Linked DNA regions of Bombyx mori. The protein of the gene in region 1 purifies or fractionates together with the protein of each later gene. This does not show direct contact. Links are inferred from orthologs where the notes say so. Each region holds a gene or a part of one and is shown in the gene's direction. Other genes may lie near its edges. The genes, in order: Golgi SNAP receptor complex member 1 and syntaxin 5A.

Region 1 (3,828 bases):
CTGGAATAGGAGTCTACAGTATTCACCAGATAATGGAAAGCAGAGTTCTCAGCTTACTGATAGTAGGGGTACTGTAAACTCTCACGTACCATAGTTCTGCATTTTCAAACTTTTCAAACTCGTCGAATCTAGTGCAGCACGCCAATGTGTGATCCACTGTGTCATGGCGTCCTGACCGCCATTGCACGCTGCGAACATCGCAGTACGGCGATGTTTTCGCGGGTCAGGGCGCGGCACCAAACGGGAGCGCCGCAGAGTGCCTCAATAAGCCTCGCGTTGTAGTAGGCCTCTCGTTGTAGTGGGTCTCGCGTTGTAGTAGGCCTCGCGTTGTATGAGGTCCCACGTTGTATGAGGTCCCGCGTTGTGTAAGGTTTCGCGTTGTATGTGGTCCCGAGTTGTATGGGGTCCCGCGTTGTATGAGGTCCCGCGTTGTATGGGGTTCCGCGTTGTATTGGATCCCGCCTTATATGAGGCCTCGCGTTGTATGGGGTCCCGCGTTGTATGAGGTTCCGCTTTGTATGAAGTCCCGCGTTGTATGAGAGCTCGCGTTGTATGTGGTCCCGAGTTGTATGAGGTAACGCGTTGTATGGGGTCCCGCGTTGTAGGGAGTCCCGCGTTGTAGGGGGTCCAGCGTTGTACTAGGTCTCGCGTTGTATGAGGTCCCGCGTTGTAAGAGATCTCGCGTTGTATGAGATCTCGCGTTGTATGAGGTCCCGCGTTGTATGAGGTCTCGCGTTGTAGTAGGTCTCGCGTTGTATGAGGTCCCGCGTTGTATGAGGTCTCGCGTTGTAGTAGATCTCGCGTTGTATGAGGTCCCGCGTTGTATGAGGTCCCGCGTTGTATGAGGTTCCGCGTTGTATGAGGTCCCGCGTTATATGAGGCCTCGCGTTGTAGCAGGTCCCGCGTTGTATGAGGTTCCGCTTTGTATAAGGTCTCGCGTTGTAGTAGGCCTCGCGTTCTATGAGTTCCCGCGTTGTATGAGGTCCCAGGTTATAGAGGGCAACGCGTTATAGTAGGTCTCGCGTTGTATGAGGTCCCGCGTTGTATGAGGTCTCGCGTTGTAGTAGGTCTCGCGTTGTATGAGGTCCCGCGTTATATGAGGCCTCGCGTTGTAGTAGGTCCCGCGTTGTATGAGGTTCCGCTTTGTATAAGGTCTCGCGTTGTAGTAGGCCTCGCGTTCTATGAGTTCCCGCGTTGTATGAGGTCCCAGGTTATAGAGGGCAACGCGTTATAGTAGGCCTCGCGTTCTATGAGGTCTCGCGTTGTATGAGATCTCGCGTTGGGTTTTTTCAAAAAGTCTCGCGAGCCGGTTGTTGCCCATGTTCTAAAGTCTAAAATTTTTTTTATTATTGCCTTAGTAGGCAGAGAGCATACGGCCGACCTGATATGGTGAGTGGTTACCATCGCCCATGGACTTCAGTAATGCCAGGGGCAGAGTCAAGCCGCCGCCTACCGTAAGTTACAACGGCTGACCCACCCTTCAAATCGACGCATTACTGCTTCACGGCTGAAATACCTGGTGGGACCTGCCCGTGCGGACCCACAAGAGGTTCTGCCACCAGTAAAAACGTACGTGTGACTGAAACGTCGTATCAAACCATAATTTCGCAGGACTACCAGCAAGAGTACTCCCGCACGTCAGCCCGCGTGTCGGCGCGGCGCGAGCGCGAGGAGCTGCTTCGGGGCGGCTCCCCGACTCCGCCCGCCGCGGGACTCAGCAGACGCGACCAGTACGCGAAGGAAGCCAACCATTTGCACAGGTGTGATATACGGTTTTTCTTTTTTTGTATATTCTATGCCTTTGTTGTCTCTATATCGAGGGACTTTTTGGCGGTAACGCGAGGAGTGAAGTCGTTGTGATTTGTTTTATTTTGTCTATTTAGTGTTTCTTCGGGCTTAAATGTAAATTAATGGTGGTTTATTAACTGTTCAATATCTGTGAAAGTGCATAAAGCCAAGAAAGAGACAAAGCCGTTGTTCTCCGGTTCCTCCAAAAAGTGCACTGAAAAAATCTCAGTAAATGACCACCATTTTACTGAGATTATATTTCATTCCATATCATCTCATCTCATTTCATTTAATTTGACTTTGACATTCAATGACTGGGATGATTAATTTAAGAAATTAATCATCCCAGTCATTCGCTTCATTTTCTTCATTTCAGACTTCATTTCATTTCACTCCATATAATCATTTTTCATATTAATAAGAATATAAATTAAAATAAGACATGACTTAAAGGTCTTAGTTACCAGGTCTAAAATTCCTTAAAAAAATCTATATCGAGCAAGGATTAATAAGACACGTGTTTAGTTAATAAATTTAAATTCAAGCGCAAAAAACGATACCAGAAAACAATTCTAAGTGAAGATTAAAGTGCGTCATAGTGTTACTACACCAGTAGCGCAGTGAATATTACTGCGTATTACATATTAATGAGTAGTGTAACTATACTGACCGCTCAGAACTCATATCTCAAGGTGGGCGGCGGTATTTACGTTGTAGACGTTTATGGACTCCAGTAACCACTTAACACCAGGTGGACTGTGAGTTCGTCCACCCGTCTAAGCAATAAATAAATAAAAAGATGATGAATAGACATTCGGAACAGCTCTTGATTTTGATTCTTAGAACTGAACATTTAGTATTTGTCTTTCTTTTTTGTTTGGCCAGAGTATTAATTTGGTCGTTTTCCCATTTCAGTTCCCACATATTAGTCGATGAACAAATAAACATAGCGATGGAAGCTCGCGACCACCTCTCCTCGCAACGGCAAACCTTCAAACGGATGCAGACCAGGTTCAACGATATCGCCAACAGGTAAATAAATGTTAAAACATTTTTTTATTTTCAAACATAAAAGCTATAAGACAATTCAGGAAGCTAACTATGTTAGATAATTTCACACACACACACACGCACACACGCACGCACACACACGCACGCACGCACACACACACACGCACGCACGCACACACACACACGCACGCACGCACACACACACACACATTCTCTTATATATTCGTAAATACTAGCAGACCCGACAGACGTTATTCTGCACGCACAAATAAATGGAATGAATGAATGATGCATACACAAAAATTCATTCAAGTCGATCCAGCCGTTTAGTTGCAGTATATATAAATAACCTAGATACCGACTGCAACGTCATCTGCCGGGTTGAATTGTGAATCAACCATCCAAGGTGCCACATAAACGCATACAAAAAAAAATCATTCAAATCGGTCCAGCCGTTTAAGAGTTCAGTGACATACACACGTACAGTAGAATTATATATTTATTGATGAATTTCATATCAATTCGACCTATGGTTAAAAAAATAGAAATCACTGTCACCAGCGCCACCTATCCGTCACTAACGTAACTATATTCGGACTGGTCATATCGACTTATAAATATTGGGTGAGGTTTCATATCGATTAGAATGTTTTTCGAGTTTTAGGTGAACCTACACACACATGTACATACAGATTAAAGTTTTTTTAAGTTGTTGTGGTCTAACGGATAAGGGTCCGTTCCCATAGAAGACCATAGACATCAACAACGCGAACACCGCAACCCACCTTGATACATGAGTTCTAAGTCTCAGTATTTACATTACAACGGCTGCCCCACCCTTCAAACCGAAATGCCTTACTGCTTCACGGCAGAAATAGGCAGGGCGGTGGTACCTACCCGTGCGGACTCTCAAGACGTCCTCCCAAAAGTAATATAAAACTTGTTCAGTGTGTGTTAGTGGGAGTTTTTTAACGTTCTCGATAGCGTAAGAGTTAACTCAAATTTGTATGCAATTGGAACAGCGCCCCT
Region 2 (4,271 bases), on another chromosome or scaffold:
ATTTACCGAATTTACAATAGTGTTTTATTCACTGCGGCATAAAACTATTTTATTTAAATAGTTCCGAAGAGATTTTGTCGGTAGCCTTTTTCCCGAAATATCTAAACAGAATGTCAATAATATGTTTTGATGACATATTTTAAAGAGGTATTTATAATTAGTGTCATGATCAATAGATTCCGACCGAAAAATGATTTTTCGGATGAGGGCTCCGTAATGAATTTAAATATATATAGATAATAGTTTTGGGGCATCGACTTTCTTGAGATCCTATAAAATACGTTTTAATTATTATTTTTGTATGTTTTAAGCATGATAAAATATGAAATTTTATATAAGCAATCATATTAAATCGCAACCCAAAACAGACGGCCGAACTGACGTGACAATGACATTTGGAGCGCTCAACATGGCGGATTTTCGGCCTCATTAGACATTTACGTATATTCATGTTTCATTTTATGTACGCACTGAAATACTGTTATATTATTTTCCTGCGAGTTAAAGTGCTGAGTAAGAACGAGATAGATATATGTTTATGTGTGTGCCTTCAAAATGGGTGCTATTTATATAAGCAATTGTACGTATAGTACAATATGTCGTGTCCCTACTATATAGGTCTATGATAATCTATGATAAAAGTGAACTATAAATGACAGCCCCAAACTAATGAACATTTTCCAAATAAGATATGACCTAAAGGTCTCTGTCACCACGTCATAAAATTAAAAAAAAAAACAAAAATGACAGCGACTTTTTGGCGGGAACGGAGGAGTGAAGTTGTGTGATTTGTTTTATTTTGTCTATTTGGTGTTTCTTCAGGTTTAAATGTGTAATAATGGTGGTTTATTAACTGTTTAGTATCTGTGAAAGTGCACAAATGTGGGAAAATGAAACAAAGCCGCCGGACGTCACTTCTCGGGATCCTCCAAAAAGTCCAACGAAAAAGTCTCAGTAAATGACCACCAATTTACTGAGATTATATTTCATCCCATATCATCTCATTTCATTTCATTTGATTTCATCCCAGTTGATTAATGTCTCAAATTAATCATCTTCATTTCATTTCATAATTTTTCATAAAAATAAGAGTATAAATTAAAATAAGACATGACTTAAAAGTCTTAGCTACCAGGTCATAAAATACCTAAAAAAAGAGAAAAAAAAATGACAGCGACTTTTTGGGGGGAACGTGAGGAGTGAAGTTGTGTGATTTGTTTTATTTTGTCTATTTAGTGTTTCTTCAGGTTTAAATGTGTAATAACGGTGGTTTATTAACTGTTTAATATCTGTGAAAGTGCACAAATGTGGTAAAATGAAACAAAGCCGCTGGACGTAACTTATCGGGATCCTCCAAAAAGTCCACTAAAAAAATTTCAGTAAATAACCACCATTTTACTGAGATTATATTTCATCCCATATCATCTCATCATGAATACTTGTATATTCAATTGTCCTTCGACATGTCCACCACCATTGTCAATACATTGACGGGCAAGTTTCATTAACTCGTTTTTAACGAGAGAAGTGCGCTTCTATGTCTTTTCACTTCGTCAAAAGCGTCCAATATGCGCTGTTTTAATTGTGCGAGCCTAACCGGCTCGCTTCTGTACACACATCTCTTAATTTCACTCCACAAAAGAAGTCCATGGGCGTGAGGTCAGGTGAGCGTGGAGGCCAAGCTACAGGCCCAATGCAGAAAATAATACATTTGCTTCGGTATTGTTCAGTATCCTGATGCAAAATGAAATCCTCGCTACATAATCAACGGTGGTTAATTCCTGAGATTTCCTGTAGTGATATGGATATAATCCGGCCTTATTAACAATCTTCCAGGCACAGGACTGGCTGTTGTTAAACCGTCGAGCAGTGTCATTTGTACTCCGTCGGGGATCCTCTTCAAAATACGCTAGTACATCGTCGTACAGATTTTGTCACAACGCCAGTCTTCCTCGTTCTTGACTATGTGACGGTGCGTGGAATGAACCGTGATCAAGCAAATGCTGGTAAGCATTTACCACGGTTCGCACATTTGGCTGTCGGGCGTTCGGGTACTCTTCCCTGTACATACGTACAGCTGCACTCGCGTTCGGGTATTCTTCCCTGTACATACGTACAGCTGCACTCGCATTTTCTCCACTCAAAAAGTACCCACGAAGCATAGCTACATACTCCCGTGATGTGAACTGATAAGCCATCGCATCAGGGAAAACTTAAACAAACAACTGTTGCAACGAAAAAAAGCATGCGCACACTTCCGCTAACAATTTAGTAGTGTTTAGGTTTTTGTCGTTATTGTTGAGTTGAGTTGACTTGAGTTTCCTGGAATTTATCAATGGAGCAGCGCCCCGTAGATACTAAAACCCTGCCGCACGTACTTTCGGTCATTGATTTAGTTATTTAGCATTTACCAATTATTACGTATTTTTATGGACAGTTCTGAGACTTCGTGTTTTTTTTATTTTTAACTACCATATAATATGATTAGTTAAAGATACTTAGAGCCCAGTTAATTTTTTTGTACTAATTTAAAAATAGTGGTGTATAGTTATAGGACCACGCGCCTGTTATGACAACAAATTTACTGAACATATAATTACGGTAACATTAAGGTTATTATGAGAATTAAATAACTCGCTTTTGGCCCCAAATTTAAAAACGACCCATTGATCATCACACGATATAATCTTTTGATACACACACACATGTTCGTTGGTGTCACTTCTTCGTCATTTAATTTAAATAGTTGGAAGTGAAGAGATCGACCTTCTCTATAGAAACATAAACACATTGTCATTAGTCTGCCAAAAATTGCTAAGACAAACAACTAGGTATACCCACATCAATTCTAACGAAGTGGTACAACAGTTAAATTAATATGCTTTTTGAGATTACATTGAAATGGCTGTTCCAGATGTTTGTATTGTGAAAATTTTGTTGAATATGTTTCAAATGACAGATGAAATTATTATTTTATTTCTATAGAATTTTTACGGCAACAATTTGTTGGCATGAAGAGAAACTAAAATCCATAAAAAGATGAAAATGAAACAGGACTGTAACCCAAAGAGTAAAAAAAGTAGATCTGAGATAAAAAAAAAATTAATTGTATTAATGCCGGCCACTGACATGCGCGCAAATATTCGTACATTGTACGAATGTTTGCGCGCATGTAAAGGGCCGTCAAACATTCATTCGCAAACCTAGCGGCTGTGCAAATGGGTTCGCATACTCAATTTGCGAACCCGTTTGCGCTTCCTCCTACACTTGTTTACGAATGTCTCACGAATTTCTCCTCCTTTTTAATTCGTCAATAGAACATTGAAAAGAAAAAGATTTTTGAATTCTTTCCCAGACATGATTAACAGCCATGCTGTTTTTATGGGATTTCTTTTGATGAAGATACGCTACACAGTAGACGTCACGAACTATGAAAACGGCGTTACCTTCGCAATCGTCGGCGCAACTGGGCAAGCGAATGTGTGGGAGACTACGCGAAGGTTCGAGGTTCGCGCGCTTTGATGTCTGTTAAAAAACCGACACAGCTTGGAAAACCACGAATGCAGCGAAAACTTTGCATAATCATTCGCAAATGTCGTCCTACACTTGCGGGTTTGCGTATTCGTGCGCATGTGAGTGACAGAGTGAGTAATGGACAAACTAAGCCAGAATAGTCTATGACTACCCCTACGTGTTAAGTGTATTATCTATGACTACGTGTCTGGAATCTATCGAGTGATTAAAAATAAAGGATTGTGGGTAGGTACCTACATACCTTATCTAAAAAATGGAATAGTGGGACTTGATAATTTAAAAGATAGATATATCATCGAGTTTTGAAAAGAATCGATGAGATGAAATGATAAATATTGTACACACATGAATGTACTATGAAAGTACGTAATTATTTGAACGCTATTGGTTTTCTAAGTAAGTATTGGAATGTAAAATTGTGAAATACTGCCTCAATTATGTAAATTGTAAGTTTTCATTTTCAAACAAAATATCCCCAATCATTAACAAGTAAAGCATATGTGTGGTGTAACAGTACTGTTTGACTTAATGTAATTTACTTATCAAACAAAGTTGACAACGTTTTTTCTGTAAAACTTTATAGGTGAAGACTGAAGACTACAATGCGATGCTTCCTCGAAGGCGAAATATAGGCGTTACAGAAAGACTCTTGGAAACAGAAACGGATTCATACAATAAATTAGATAAGAAAGGTGTTCATTACGGGGAATCGCGGCCTTACGAGAACTCATCAAATT

Evidence for each region.
Region 2: the proteins of Golgi SNAP receptor complex member 1 (region 1) and syntaxin 5A purify together in Homo sapiens (affinity purification with western blotting; 3 studies listed by BioGRID, with this or other methods). This does not show direct contact. The link is inferred for Bombyx mori from reciprocal best matches to the Homo sapiens genes GOSR1 and STX5.

What each region holds. Positions count from the first base shown.
Region 1 is NC_085122.1:10,011,865-10,015,692, reverse strand, and holds part of Golgi SNAP receptor complex member 1, read left to right. Parts: intron 1-1,611; coding exon 1,612-1,760; intron 1,761-2,703; coding exon 2,704-2,820; intron 2,821-3,828. UniProt on the Homo sapiens protein: Involved in transport from the ER to the Golgi apparatus as well as in intra-Golgi transport. It belongs to a super-family of proteins called t-SNAREs or soluble NSF (N-ethylmaleimide-sensitive factor) attachment protein receptor.
Region 2 is NC_085118.1:10,688,409-10,692,679, reverse strand, and holds the start of syntaxin 5A, read left to right. Parts: upstream 1-1,180; 5' UTR 1,181-1,981; coding exon 1,982-2,006; intron 2,007-3,355; coding exon 3,356-3,507; intron 3,508-3,678; exon of another isoform or gene 3,679-3,890; coding exon of another isoform or gene 3,891-3,896; exon of another isoform or gene 3,897-3,930; intron 3,931-4,117; coding exon 4,118-4,271. UniProt on the Homo sapiens protein: Mediates endoplasmic reticulum to Golgi transport.